Linked DNA regions of Cricetulus griseus. The protein of the gene in region 3 interacts with the protein of the main gene of each other region in a pairwise test. Links are inferred from orthologs where the notes say so. Each region holds a gene or a part of one and is shown on either strand. Other genes may lie near its edges.

Region 1 (5,280 bases), on a different chromosome or scaffold from region 3:
AGTACCAGTGAAGGGCAAGTTCTCCATCCAATAGCTGTGAGGGACCAGGGAGACTGCCCATCAGTGGTAAAGGTGCCTGCGTTCAACACCCAGGACTCACATGGTGGAAGGCCAGAACTGATTCTTACAAGGGATGCACTGACCTTTGCATACACTCCTGTGCCCCTGCCCCATATATATACACACACATGCACACATAAATGTCAAACAAGCAAACATAAACTCAACCGTTGATAAAACCATTGAGATGACAAGCCCCATGGTGGGGTGGGAAGCAAGGTGGCCCAGTGTCCCTGCACAGACAGACTCTTTGATTTGCTCTGACATATCAAGAGTCAAGGACAGTTATTCTCTCCCAGGCCCTGGAGGAGACCAGGGATAAGAAGAGTCACTTTGTTACCCCATCCCTGGTACCTGTTGAGCCAGGAGAGGAGGGCATGGGCCTCCCGCACCAGCTCTACAGCAGCAGCAAGGACATCGGCAGGAGTCTCAGCACAGTCTCCCAGACGGCCATGGACCAAGCTTTGGAACGCCTGGGTCCTTTCCAGCAGCCCCTGAGCCAGGCTCTGCAGATTCTCTGTCTGTAGCTTGGAGCCCTGCATCAAGAACGGGCATATTATTGCCCCCTCAACAGCCAGCCCACACGGGCAAACCCCTAGACTGGTGGGTGCTACAACCAGTGTGGCAGATGCTATGGCCATGTGGCCAGTGCTTACTCACCAGGGCCCGGAGCTGTTCCACCCCTTCTAAAATGAGCTCCTGGTGGCCCAAAGGCCACACAGTCAGAGCCTCGAGGCTCTGGGGACAGAGCTGCAGCAGGTACTTTCCAGGCAGCTCCCAGTCTTCGAAGGGGTAGTCCTGCAGTGAATCATCAAGGCCTGGAGCAAGGGGTCAGCGTCGGGAAACAGGTGTCATTACCGTTCTGAGTCTTCATTATATCAGAGCCCTCCCCCTCCCACCTGTCCCCAATGACAACCCCGAGACCTGGCTGGATTCTGCCTGTCTTGCAGCTGATGCTACTGAGTGGAGAACCATACACAGCAGCGACTCTGGCAAGTGTATCCAGCCTACTGACATTGCCATCCACCAAATTCGTGCTCGAATACCTTGCAATCCAGTTATCAAAAAAACAAAAAAAAGAGGCTAGCGAGTTGCTTCAGTGGCTAAGAACAACACACACTGCTCTTGCAGAGGGCCTAAGCTTGTTTTCCTAGGACTCATAGCCCAACCACCTGGAGTCAGGGGGACCCGAGCAGGACCTAACACTTAAGATATTTACTAGTTCTGTGCTTAAATTTCTTCACTTATAAAACAGGAGAGATGGAGCAGGGCAGTGGTGGCACACGACTTTAGTCCCAGCACTCCCAAGAGGCAGAGGGAGGTGGATCTCTGTGAGTTCAAGGCTAGCTTGGTTTACAGAGCTGGTTCCAGGACCGCCAAGGCTGTTCCACAGAGAAACCCTGTCTCAAAAAAAAAAAAAAAAAAAAAAAAAAAAAAAAAAAAAAAAAAAACCCAAAAAAACAAAAAGAAAAGAAAAACCCAGGAGAGATAGCTCATTGGTTAAGAGCACTTACTGTTCTTACAGAGGACCCTGGTTCAGTTCCTAGCACCCACATGGTAGCTCATACAAACATGCAGGCAAAACACTCATAAAGTAAATAAAAATTTAAAAATAAATAAAATGGGGACATCGAAAGCACCTGCCTTCTAATCATGTGTTTTAGAAAATTAATTCATGTGTGCCAAACACTTGGTTCATAGTCAGGAAGTAACAGCTATCACATTGTTGCCAGGCTGTCTACTGTGACCGTACTTTATGTGAGGCAATGCTTTAAGAACTTTACCCACAGTCAAGTGTGGCGGCACAAGTCTTTAATGCCAGTACTTGGATGCAGAGACAGGGGGATCCCAGAGTTCAAGGTCAGCCTGGTCTACAGAGTGAGTTTCAAGAGAGCTGGAGCTACACAGAGAAATAAACCCTGTCTCAAAAACAGAAAAATAAAATGAACTTTACCCACAATGGCATTCCTAGAAGTTGGGGGCTACACATCATCCCTGATACACAACTGCAAAAACCAAAAGAGGGAGAGACAGTGGCTTGCTCATGCTTTGGAAGAAAGCCTCCCATCCCACCAGGCCCGACTCACTGGGGAATGTGTGTAGTCATTAGGTGTTCCTCATTCCTCCTGTAGCATTAAGAGTCCTGACTAAGAGCTCAATAAGCCAGGGTTATTTGGACCACTTCCTTCCCATGTTGAATGTGTTGGGTTGACTCCCTCTCTCCCCGAACACACTAAAATTGAGCTACACATTGCCAGTCACAACCATGGTCACGTTTTTGTCTAGTTCATGAGTAGAGAAGCTGAGACCTGTGGTCACAGACCTGGTGAGTATTAGTGCTGGCTGGGGCCCCGGTCTGGGAGTGTGATTGCAGTTCTACTGGGCTGCTCACACTGAAAAGGCCTCCAGCAAGCTCCAACTGCCCATGAGAGCAATGGCTGGCCTCCCCACTGGCCGCTGCAGCCACAATGGCCTTCATTTCTCTGAGTCTGCCTGTGTTTGTATCTCTTGGTCGCCTGGGGAGTGATCTTCACCCCTTGAGAACGGCGGCGGGTTCTGCTTCTCTCACTGTCAATCTCAGGCTGAGGAGAGGGGAAAAGGACACCAGGGCCTGACCAGTTCCAAGACTGAACAAATCACTTCCTGGCTGTGTGCATGTTTGTACTTTCGAAAAATGGGCTTAATAAACAGCTCACAGGGCCCTGGGGCACAGGGAAGATGACGGAGATAAAGGGGGCGTGGGCCACAAGGGCCACCCTGTCTTTAGTTTAGTACTGCACCTGCCTGTCGCCGCCCTGGCGGGCGCTTGAACACACACATACAGAAAGACCCCTTCTTGCGTCTTAGTGCCTCTGACGGCTCCTGGCCTGTCTCCGTCAACGCGGTGCCTATTCGGAGGACCCTGGTCACTGGTACATGGCAGACAGCAGACGCTCTATAAATACCTGTTGACTAATAGACTCGGCGGCAGGTTCTTTCTCCTTTCTCCCTCCTTACTTTCTGCCAAAGGGACACCACACTCTTCCCTTCAAGTCCACCTCTGCCCCCGGCTCACCAACCTCTCAGCCAAGCTGCCACCTTCGCTGGGGTCCAGGCCTCCACGGGCTCCATGCTGAGCTCCGCCCGCAGTGTCCGGCCCCTGCAGGAATTTCCGCTCCCAGATCCAGCCCCGAGCCCGCCGGGCTGGGCCAGGGCGGGGCCGCCGCATACCTGGGCCCACGTGGCCACCCAGGTGAGGGACGGCGACTGCCATTGGCCCACCGTCTGTCTTCCGCCTGCCCTGCCCCTTTAGCATCCTAGGACTTTGGCAGCTAGCTCCAGGGCTGACGCCACGGGGGTGTGACTCGGACAGTCCGGAAATGGCATGAGATGCAGTCCAAAACTGGCTTCACCAGGAGGATCCCTGTGAATTTGACGTTAGCCGAGTCTACACAGCTGAGTTCCAGGCTAGACAGGGCTGGCTGTGTAAGGAGGCTTTGTCTAAAACAACAAAACAAAAAACTGGCCCCTTAATCTCAGCCTGGGATTCTGACTTCTCAGCACCTACACAAGTGAACCTGGTGTATGGTTGGTGCACAACAGCGCATCGCTAGTCCTCCACCCCGGGGTCCCCGTGATATGTTATTGCCGTCTGGAGTTGTTGCACAGGCAGCTGACCTGGTGCTCACTTCTAGGGCACAACTGTCCTTGATTCATGGGACATCTGTGAGTATCCGAGCAAATGGCTTTAAATGTTTAGAACAGGGGGTCATGGTGATTCTGCTTGTAATCTCAGGACTCTGGAGGCTGAGGCAGTGTGAATGGCTCCAAGTTGAAGGATGACCTGGGCTACAGGGTGAGCCCCTTTCAAAAACACAAAAATGAAACAGCAGAAACTAAGTAAATAAAAACCTTCAGCATGGGACTCTCTGCCTCCTTATTTTGCATCCTTTGACAGTCTGTTGAGAATTAAAGACCCTTTCTCAAAGTAAAACTTCTCATTAATTCAGTTATTATTTTAGGGCACAAAGAGCCTTTATTGATTACCAATGAAGAGGAAACATACCAATCATTCCCCTGGAGAGACACTGGCAGACACATTAGCTGTCTTCTGAATGCATTTCTTATTCTTGCTACAATTTCTTGTTTTCTTTTTCAAGGCAGGGTTTCTCTGTGTAGCTTTGGAGCCTGTCCTGGAACCAGCTCTGTAGACCAAGCTGTCCTCAAACTCAGTGATCCACCTGCCTCTGCCTCCCAGGTGCTGGGGTTAAAGGAGTGTGCCACCATCGCCTGGCTTCTTGCTACACTTTTTGAGATGCTTTTTATTTTTGCTATGTTGCTCAGACTATTCTCCAAATCACGAATTCAAGTGATTCTCCTGCCATAGCTTCCCAAAACAGCAGGGACCACAGTTTGTATCACAGAGCCAGCTAGAATAATGCTTAAAGCACAGCACAGCTGGGGCAGGAGAGATGACTCAGCAGTCAAGAGCTGGCTGCTCTTGCAGAAAACCCCAGTTCAATTCCTAGGGCCTACATATTGACTCAACCATCTGTAACTCCAGTTCCAGGGGATCTGATGCCCTCTTCTGGTCTCCTCAGAAGTTGCATACACATGATACACACACATACAGGCAAACACCCTCCCCCCCAAAAAAACCCCATTTTTTAAAAAGCATAGAATAGCCGGGCAGGGGTGGCACACACCTTTAATCCCAGCACTCAGGAGTCAGAGGCAAGCGGATCTCTGTGAGTTCAAGGCCAGCCTGGTCTACAAGAGCTAGTTCCAGGATAGGCTCCAAAGCCACATAGAAACCCTGTCTCAAAACACCCCACCCTACCCACCCCCCAAAAAAGCACAGAATAATTTTTAGGATTACACCTTTAATTCCAGCACTTGGGAGGCAAAGGTAGGCAGACTCTATGAGTCTGAGGCCAGCCTGGTCTACATTGTGAGTTTCAGGACAGCCAGGATTATGTAGACAGACCATTTAGATACTCTCAATAAAACTTTTTTATTTTTTCGGTTTTCCAGATAGGGTTTCTCTGTGTAGCCCTGGCTGTCCTGGAACTAGCTATGTAGACCAGAGTGGCCTCGAACTCACAGAAATCTGCCTGCCTCTGCCTCCCAAGTGCTGGGATTAAAGACTCTCAGTCACTGTGCTATACTCTGGGCCCTCTCATCCTTTATATATTCTGCACAATATTCTGAAAATCATCCTTTTTGTCATTTTCACAAAGA
Region 2 (5,178 bases), about 62 Mb from region 3:
GGGCCATGAGTGAGCAGTTCAAGGGACTGGTCAAACGGATGAGGCCTGTGGGCAGAAGCTTGTTGTGCCTCTACATAGGTACCCAGTCTGACAGTGGGTATGATGGCACATGCCCATCACTCTACTCAGAAGGTACAAGGAGAATCAGGAGTTCAATGTCATCTGTGGCTTCAATAACACCAGCCTGGACTACATGAAACCCTGACTCGAAAAAAGGAGGGAGAAGGACAGAGCTGAACTCAAAGGAGCTGGCTTTCTTACTTGAAAGAGTGAGTAAATAAGTGGAGGGACTGCAAACAAAGATTCCCCATGGTCAGGAGGGTGCATGTCAGGGCCTGATCCCTCTGAGGCTTTGGCCATTGTCTAGGGAGGAGTCTGGCACCCCCCAGCTGAGCCAAACAGCAAGGTCTCTTTCTAGCATCCACTTTATTGTGACTTCCGGTCAGCCTGGTGGATGTAGTTCCAATCAAATACCTCTGAGGAAGAGAGACCAGAGCCTTGGGTGTCCTCATGCCATGCTATTGCTCAGCTGCAAAGCGAAGTCCTGTACATGGTCCTTCAGGGTCTGGCGGGCATCTGCCTGTGCCCTCTTCTCTCGTGCCCGTTCCTGCTGCAGCTTGGTCAGTCGAAGTCTAAGCCGCTGTTCCCTACGTTTGCAGGCCTGCAGCTGGCGCTGGGCCTTGTCCAGAGCATCAAGAGCTGCTTCAGCTCTCCTCTTCCAGAGCAAGGCACTCCCCACTTGGTAGCTGTGCTCATTCTGGATGTAGGCTCCAGCAGGTGGTGGCAGCCGCAACATGTAAGCAGATGGGGAGATAGGCCGTGGCTCAAGAGGGGAGGGGTGCTGCTCTGGTGAAGGCTGGGCACTACAGCCTGCTTCCTCTGCTTGGGCACCTACCGGGCCCAGAAGATCTGAGAAGGGGCTGTTAAGGCCAGGTTCCAGCCTCACAGCTGGGGATGCAGGCAGAGTGGCAGGCGCTGAGGCTTCTTCCACAGGGAAGCAGATGATGTCAGCAGGAGGTGGAGAAAACAGGGTTGTGGGTCCTTGACCTTCAGAGCAGCTGGAGGGGAGACAGAAACTGACTAGCCAACTAAGAGCATGCCAGGACCCTCATACACCCACTTACACTCCCTAACACCTGAGCCCCTTCACTGGGTCCAGGCAGCAAGAACCCTGTTCAGTGAAGATGCTGGCACTCACCCTACAGTTCAGTCCCTCAGCCCTGGGGGGAGGGTGGGGCATCTCCCTCCTTCAGCACATACCGCTTCCTGCATCGCCGGAGCCGGCTGACATCAGGCAGGCCAGGTGGATAACCATGCCCCTTGGTCTTGGTTGTTCGACGTAACTTGGAGAAAGACTCAAATATGGTGGGGACTGCCCCTTCCTTCAGCCTGTGATACCCACTGTGGGGAAAAGCAGCCCAGATGAGGTGGAAATAAAGTGCTGCCACTTCCCCTGGTCCCAACATAGCTCCCCTCAGCACTAGGGCTATGGGCTTCATGGCACACTGCCAATAATCTGAAGAATGCCAAGTTTGGTAGAATCCAACTAGTCTGCCCTGTGAATGAGCATCCAGACTTGAAGTGAATGGACAACGCCTCCCCACCCCCGCACGGCTAGGTGGACTAGTCAGAAGTCTCTCATTTGTGGGCCTGCTGGAAGAACTAGGGGCCAAATACCCCAGAGAAAAGCTATTTTACTTTTGTGTGGATATCAGAGGCCTTCTTAAAATTATTCTCCACCTGTTTTTAAAGATTTCTTTTTTCTCCTTAAAAACATTTATGTGTATGGGTGCTTTGCCTGTACATATGACTATCCACATGCCTGGTACCCACAGAAGTCAGAAAGAGCACTAGATCCCTGGAACTAGAGTTTACTGGCTTGTGAGCCACCATGTGGATGATGGCAAATGAACCCAAGTCGTCTGGAAGAAACCAGTATCTTTTTTGTTTTTCAAGACATGGTCTCTCTGTGTAGCTTTGGAGCCTGTCCTGGAACTCACTCTGTAGACCAGGCTGGCCTCAAACTCACAGATCCGCCTGCCTCTGCCTCCAGAGTGCTGGGTTTAAAGGTGACACCAGTGACAGCTTGAAGCCTCTTAACCTCTGAGCCATCTCACCAGCCCTATTTATGAGTATGAATGTTTTGCCTACATGTACAATGTGTATGTACCACCTGTGTGCCAGGGCCCTTAGAAGTACGAAGAAGGCAAGGGATATCCCTTGGTGCTGGGAATTGAACCCTGGTTCTCTAGAAGAGTAACAAGTGCTCTACATTGTTAAGCCATCTCTCCAGCTCACCCACATTTTTTCTATCTATCTATCTATCTATCTATCTATCTATCTATCTATCTATCTATCTATGAATGACAGTGTCCCCTTGAACACAGGTCTCAACAACTCATCTAGACTAGCTAGCTGGCAGGAGCCCTGGTATCTTTTAGTTTTGTCTTCTCCAGACCTGGGAAAACTGTCTTCCCAGCCGGGAAAGGCTGTTATTCTCGGATGCTACTGGCATGGTAATCCTGGGGCCATGCTTTACTGCACACAACTGGGAAGAGGTCACAGCACCCTCGACATAGGTGTGCCTGTCTGTGAGCGTGCCAGCCAGCCGTTCATGGGCTTCACCAGGGCACAGAGCCGCCCCACTTGCCACACTCACTGCTCTGATGCCTCACCACCTGTTCAAGTGTCATCTGGCAGAAAAACCCACCTGATTCCCACCAGCTCAAAGCAGTTTTCCTCGAAGTGTTTGGAGCAGAAGTAGATGTACTCAGAGGCCGGGTCCCACAGGCCCTGGCCGCTGGGGTCCAGCCGCTGACAGTTGGCCAGCCACAAGCCGCGCCTGGGGTTGTCTTTCTTGGGAAGTCTGCAGAGCCACAAAACCGTGAGCACCAGACTGCTGCAGCCCGCGATCAGGATGCCCAAGCTCCCCAGGCAAGAGGGGCAGACCTCCCCGCGACCCTTTCGGATTACCACCCGCTAGGAGTAAACTGAGGACGAGAGAAGGAAGGAACAGGGCCTGCTTAGCATCACCTAGCAGCAAAGAGTTAGAGCTCCAAGTCCAAGGCAAGAAAGCGCCCAGTCCTTTTCGGCTGGATTCGGGACTCCTCGACCGCCCTTCACCCTCCCGCTCACAAAGTTCAAGCCTCACTTCGACCTCAGGAAGGCGCTGTCTCCTGCGCGGCCTAAAGTGCAGCAACACCAGCGCCTGCGCATGTGAGCCCTCGCGTGCCACTACGCACGCGCGCTGACCTGTGGAAGGAGATGCCGCGGTTGCGAGTCTCGCGCGTATCCCGTGTGCAGCAGCCGGCGGCGGAGCAGTGTCGCGGCATCTGGGGAAGGGGTGGGAGCTGGGTCGTGGGCGGCAGCCGGGGGGAGGGGACTGCCTTCACGCCCCGCCGCCACTCCCTCCAGAGGGCCTGAACCTGCCGGCTCCCCCGCGGCCCGACCTCGTCCCAATCCCGTCCTAACTCGTTCTATAGACTCCCGTCAGCGGTACTCACGGTCTTGCCATTGCTGCGCCGCCAAAGTCTCGCGATGGGTGGGTCAATGCGGAAGTTGGGAGCGTAGGGACTCCGTAGCGGGCTGCGACTGCCCTCAAGGGGCGGGACCGGAAGAGATCCTGGCGGGCCGGCCACCGGATGTTGGGAGTGCGGGCCGATCGTTGCCGCTGAGGTGCTTGAGATCCCCGGAGCGGCCGTGTCCTCGCTCCCTTGTTTTGTTTGTGTATCCAGGGTGACTACCGAGCGCTCGCCGTTAGGACTAAGCAGCCCCGGTGCGATCTGTAGTGCTCCCTGACACTCTGGTTGAAAGAAGATTCACCACCAAGAAAAATCTGGGCTCTTGCCTGAAAGAACCCCGCCAAGGGCCCTGGGTGACTCGGCACTTTCTGCCAACCCTGAGGATCCGAGTTTGATTTCCCTGCCCGCCATGGTTAGAAGGGAAGAACCAATGCCCACTAGTTGTCCTCTGACCCCCACATATCGCACGTGTGCATGCATGCGTATGCACAAGATAAAACGTAAAGACAAAAAAGAGTTCTTAAAGTAACGGAATTAACTGCGTCAGCAGAGGGACTGCAAACACGGCCAGGAGGGTCTGAGCCCACTGGGATTTTACCGCTGTCTCAGGAGAAACCTGGCACTCCCAGCTGGGCCAGGCAACAGGATCTCTTTCTAGCATCTACTTTGTGACATTAGCAGTCCTGGAGGGTCCATTTTAGATCAAGGTCTTTAAACCAGTGCTCAAAACTGAGTGCAATCTGGGGACATAAACATTTGCCAGCCGAGGAGGAAAGCTAATGTAGAAACCTAGGTTTCTACAGCTTGGGTGGAACCCCAGCTGCGTTCACACGCGGTGTGAGGGACTTCATTCTTCAATTTAAAACAATGTGTGTTGCCCCAATTGACTTATCTTGTTAGTAACTGAGCATATAGATATGCCTATTAATGTCTTAGAGAAAACAAATGTATTTGCTGCAGAGGAATTTAGTAGTTGGCCCTTCCAAGAAAGGCAGCTATCTAGACAGGGAACTTTGTTTTTTGTCTTGTTTTGTTTTTAAAGTACTGTATGAAGTAAAAGTAATGTTAACAGTAGGGGGGGAGATAAAGATATAACTGCCAGCCACATAGCTGCACTCAGTATTCCCCCCCCTCATTCTGCAGAATCCACAGCCATCTCTTAATAACCCTTCCCCGAGGCTGCCAGGTCCTCTGGACCTCAGAGAACACCCCTCCACACCTGCTGTCACATAGATGTGCGTAAAGGCCTCTCTGGCATGCATGAGGTTGAACTTGTGATTTAGGTGAGCCCAGGCCTCTTCAGTGGCAGTTGTTTTGCTGAGCATACACATGGCCTGCTGTTCCTTGGCCAGGTCTCCCCCAGGGACCATAAAGGGGGGCTGGTAGTTAATGCCTGCCTATCAGAAAAAAGGAAAATACAGTGGAGTTTATATTGGCCTTATAAATGACAGTTTGTTAAAAAGTTGAGAACTGTGGACCCACTTTGAACTGTAAAAGCTAGTATTATACTTTTGAAAATAACTAACATTTAACATTCTTTTAAAATTTCATGTTTCAGATTCACCCACACAGACACACACACAAAAAATTAAGGTTGTATGTGGGACAGGAGAGATGGCTCAGTGGTTAAGAGCACTGGCTGCTCTTCCAGAGGTCG
Region 3 (4,560 bases):
GGTGGACAGGTTAGAAGTTCAAGGTCACCTTTGGCTACACAGGGAGTTTAAGGTCAGCCTGGGCAGCATAAGTTCTATTATTAAAGGAGGCAGATGGGGCGAGCAAAGATAGCCAAGGGGCAGGGCACCAAAGGACACAACAGAAGACAAGAAAAGCAATCTCAGCAGGAACCTGATGGGGAAAGTGAGAAAGGCACAGGTCTGTGGTGGCTGGTGAGAGGGAATCTAGAGGAAAAGCATGGGGCATAGACTTTTCCAGAACTGGGACTCAAAGAAACTTCTGTCACCTAAGCTACCGAGCTTGTGGCACTGTGTTACAGCGACTAAGGGACAGAATGAACCAAAAGGATGTTTCCTCATCCTAAAAGTGTTTAGACAATCCCCTTGCCCATCTCCCAGTTCACAGGTGGCCATAAGGGAAGAGACTGGTTATGGAAGAGGTAGTAACATCATTGGATATGCTATCCTAGAAGACCCAAGACCCAGCAGGAGGGGCCCAGAAACCCAGCCACAGGCCATCAGGCTGGCTGGGCACCACTCCACCAGAGGAGACAGCTGATCCTTGAAGCCTGGGGAGGGTGCTGCATGTACTCTTATTCTGGACCTCCCCAAATTCTGGCCTGGATAAGTGGAAACAAAGCAACAGAACAGGGAGCTAGGGCCTACCCACACACAGCCAGACTGCCTCAGACAAGGACACGGTGATGACACTAGCTGGGCCTCAGGTTTCTTCTGGCAGTTGCCCAGCAGCTGTGGAGGAACCAGTGCTGAAAAAGGAGCAGGGATGCAGAGGTGCTGCTTCCAAAATGGGCAGTCTGTTTCCTCAGGGCAGAAGGAAAACTGATGGTACCTTCCAGACCAAGGCAGGCAACTGGGGCAGGCACTGTCCCTATCACTGTTACCTGATTCCCCTGCAACAAGTTCTGGGTTCAAGGTGAGCCAGTGTCTCCAAACAAACATGGGACTGGAGAGTAAACCACGGGTCAGTGGTTCAATGATGGATGAAGAAATTATTTGGTTTTTTGTTTTGGTTTTTGACCTTTGTGTTGACTTTAGAACTCAACACAGAATTTTCTTCTGGGACCTAGGTTTGGGTCCTGGCACACATATGGCAGATTATGACTGCCTAGTTCCAGGGGATCTGATGCCTTCTTCTGGCTTCCATGGGTAGCAGGCATACATGTGGTATATATACATACATGTAGGTACTCACGAATACACATAAAGCAATCCTAACAAATCATACAAAGGGCCAGCAAGATGGCTCAGCAGGTGATTGCACTTGCTGCCAAGGCAGATGATCTGAATTTAATACACAGGACTCATATGGCAGGTGAGAGCTCACCCCTGAGAATTGTCCTTTGACTGCCACACTTGAACACACGCCATTTTCATACACATAAACATAAACACACACACACCCAAGAGATGGCTTAGAGTACTGGCTGCTCTTACATGGTAGCTCACAAATCTACCTCCAATTTAAGGGAATGCGATGCCTTCTTCTACCTTCCACTGATACCAGGCACACACATGGTGCACATATATACATACGGGCAAAAGACACACACATATATTTATCAAAAATAGACAGCCTGAAAAAGAAAAAATCTTATAGCAAAGAAAGAATGATTGAATAACAAAGTCTGTCAACCTTGCTGTAAATTACAAAGGAAAAACTGGAAGGGGCCAGCCTCTGCCTGTGGTACAACTGACTCATCACTCTATAAGATCAGCTCTGTGCTTACCAGACCATCCAGATGCCCAGGCTCCTCCCTAAAGGGCAAAACTGACTCCTGTCAATGCACTGCTACAGTGGCCCTTGGGATAAATATAAATTAATGTTCATTTAACAGAATAGAAAATTGAGTCCTGAGTAAGGCTCTGAGTTTCTCAGACCACAGAGCTTACCAGACACTGCCACTAACTAGGGTATGCTGGCTTTCTAGACCTGGTGGCAAGTAGAAAGGAAAAGAGGGAGGGGCCTACATGGGCCCAGCTCATCCCAAGTATAGGCACTTTTTTTCAAGGTCTTCAAGTAGCCTAGACTGGCCTTGAGCTCAATATGTAGGACCTAGAGTTCTACTTGAAAAATTTTCAGGGGCTGGAGAGATGGCTCAGAGGTTAAGAGCACTTAGTGCTCTTCCAGAGGTCCTGAGTTCAATTCCCAGCAACCACAAGGTGGCTCACAACCATCTATAATGAGATCTGGTGCCCTCTGCTGGTGTGCAGACATGCAGGCACTGTTGATATAATAAATCCTTAAAATAAAAAAAAAACAAACAAAAAACAAAAAAAAAAAACTCATGTGACAAGTGTTTTCACTGAGGTCAGAGGACAACTTGAGGGAGCTGATTCTCTCCTTCAACTGTGTAGGTCCCAGGAACTGAATTCAGGCCCTTTGCCCACTGAGCCATCTTTCCAACACCAAGCTTGAATTTCTGATCCTTCTGACTCTATCTCTATGCTGAGATTACAGGGTGCAGGGTACTAGAGACTGAAGCCAGGGCTCCCTGCAAGCTGGGTGAGCATGCTAACAACTGAGCTATATTCCCAGTTCAATACAAGCACTTCTCTGGAAGTTGAGCAGACTGGGTGGAGGGAGGGTCTGGTGGGACTTCTGAAAGGCCCCCATGATGGGTAGTGCTTATTGTCTATGTGGCAGAATGACCTGGAAGATGTGCTACTGGGAACCCTGTGGGGACCATCTTGATTATGTTAGCTGATGTGGGGCGACCCATCTCACTTGTTGGCAGGACCATCCCCTGGGGTAGGGGATCCCAGCCTGAAAACTAGAGAAGGTAAGTTGAGCACTAGCACAGGCACGGTGTTCTTTCTTCCTGACAATGTTGTGATGCCACTCTGACTCTCTTGCTGTGGGGAACTATGACCTGGAATGGAATGTGAGCCCAAACAAACCTTTCTCCCTTAAGCTGCTTCATTTTTTAAAACCTTTTTAAAAGTTTGCAGTTATTGGTTGGGAAGGCAGGGGTGGGGGAGCACAGCAGCACATATGTCATGGTGGGCTCGGGAGGCAAGAGAGAACAACTCCCAGGAACAGGGTCTCTCCTCCTACCACATGTATCCTGGGAATGGAATTCAGGTCCTCGGGTTTAGCAGAAATTGACTTTGCTGGCTGAACCCTCCTGATGCCCTTGTCAGGGTGTTTTGTCACAAAACAGGAAAAGATAGCCACACCCCTCCAGAGGACCCCCAACAATGCCCCATCTCTCCCACTCACCATTGATCAGCTCCAGGGCCTCTTCCTTGCTCCTGGTGATCTTTTCCTGCCGCCAGGAAGAGGGCCTCCGAGACTGGCTGTGCTTCACCAGTAGGTGCGAGCAGCGCACCCTGGCAGGCTCCCCCTGGCCATTCTTGCTACTGCCTCCAACACTGCTGCCACCACTGGGCCGCTCCCACTGGCTGGCGTTGGTGATGTGATTGAAGTAGTATACACGGCCTGGGGGAGAACAGCACCTATTTAGCTGAGGCTGGGTTGAGGAGGACTCTATCCAGAAAGCCAGGATGAGGACTGGCTTAGGAGGATGCTGTCCCCACCAGGACCTGTCTCAGACAGGACTGTGCTAATATTCTAGGTAGATACAGACACTAAACTAGCAAAACAGAAAAAACAGCTTCCAGGTCTGCAGGATGTCTCAGCAAGGAAAGGAATGTGTCAGAGTCTGAGAACCTGAGTTTGAACTCCAGGAATTGCCTAGTGGAAGGAGAACCCACCCACCCCAAGATGTCCTCAGGCTACCCTACAAAATAAACATGATCAAAAGTTCAAGAACATTCTCAGCTATAGTTTGAGAGCAATGTTGACTACATGGGATCCAATTTAAAAAATATACAAACAGCCAGGTGTTGGTGGCTCATGCCTTTAATCCCAGCACTCGAGAGGCAGAGGCAGAAGGATCTCTGTTGAGTTTGAGGCCAGCCTGGTCTACAGAGCGAGTTCCAGAACAGGCTCCAAAGCTACACAGAGAAACCCTGTCTCGGAAAAACTAAACCAAACCAAACAAAAATACCATGGGGCTGGGATCTAGCTTACTGATAGAACAGTGCTTGCCTGGCATTTGTGAGGTTCTAGTTCAGGTTCCAGTATCAGACATTCACCAAAAAGGTAAGTATGGCGGTTTCTATCCATCGCTCCACTGCAAACAAACCAGGCTTCACCTCCCACCTCTGCTCACAGCAGCAGCTATATCTTGTGCACAGACAGAGGCAGATACCTCAAAGGAGGGGGGGTTCAAGACAGGGTTTCTCTGTGTAGCTCTGGCTGCCCCGGAACTCGCTCTGTAGACCAGGCTGGCCTCAAACTCAGAGATCCACCTGCCTTTGCCTCCGGAGTGCTGGGATTAAGGTCGCACGCCACCACTGCCAGGCCCAAAACTTTATTCTTAATCCTTACCCTGGTGGCCTAAATTGAAGAGCAAGAAAGCAGCATTACTGGGGGGGTTGATGTCATCTAAGGGACATCTAGGTGACAGTGAGGAGCATAAAGAAGGTAACTCAAAAGCTTAAGGGAAAAGCCTGGCTTGATGGGGCACAGTCTAG

The links. The genes of interacting proteins can lie anywhere in the genome.
Region 1: the proteins of Pin1 (region 3) and Cnksr1 interact in binary tests that used the Homo sapiens proteins (3 or more experiments, as listed by UniProt). The two-hybrid records come from large-scale screens. The link is inferred for Cricetulus griseus from reciprocal best matches to the Homo sapiens genes PIN1 and CNKSR1.
Region 2: the proteins of Pin1 (region 3) and Thap7 interact in binary tests that used the Homo sapiens proteins (3 or more experiments, as listed by UniProt). The two-hybrid records come from large-scale screens. The link is inferred for Cricetulus griseus from reciprocal best matches to the Homo sapiens genes PIN1 and THAP7.

The regions. Positions count from the first base shown.
Region 1 is NC_048595.1:19,071,899-19,077,178, reverse strand, and holds the start of Cnksr1 (connector enhancer of kinase suppressor of ras 1), read right to left. Parts: upstream 3,477-5,280; 5' UTR 3,172-3,476; coding exon 3,120-3,171; intron 879-3,119; coding exon 721-878; intron 597-720; coding exon 415-596; intron 1-414. UniProt on the Homo sapiens protein: May function as an adapter protein or regulator of Ras signaling pathways.
Region 2 is NC_048597.1:71,784,223-71,789,400, reverse strand, and holds Thap7 (THAP domain-containing protein 7), read right to left. Parts: upstream 3,477-5,178; intron 3,333-3,476; coding exon 3,253-3,332; exon of another isoform or gene 3,217-3,252; coding exon of another isoform or gene 3,152-3,216; intron 2,867-3,151; coding exon 2,711-2,866; intron 1,402-2,710; coding exon 1,261-1,401; intron 1,059-1,260; coding exon 509-1,058; 3' UTR 235-508; downstream 1-234. UniProt on the Homo sapiens protein: Chromatin-associated, histone tail-binding protein that represses transcription via recruitment of HDAC3 and nuclear hormone receptor corepressors.
Region 3 is NC_048597.1:133,537,977-133,542,536, reverse strand, and holds part of Pin1 (peptidyl-prolyl cis-trans isomerase NIMA-interacting 1), read right to left. Parts: intron 3,461-4,560; coding exon 3,242-3,460; intron 1-3,241. UniProt on the Homo sapiens protein: Peptidyl-prolyl cis/trans isomerase (PPIase) that binds to and isomerizes specific phosphorylated Ser/Thr-Pro (pSer/Thr-Pro) motifs.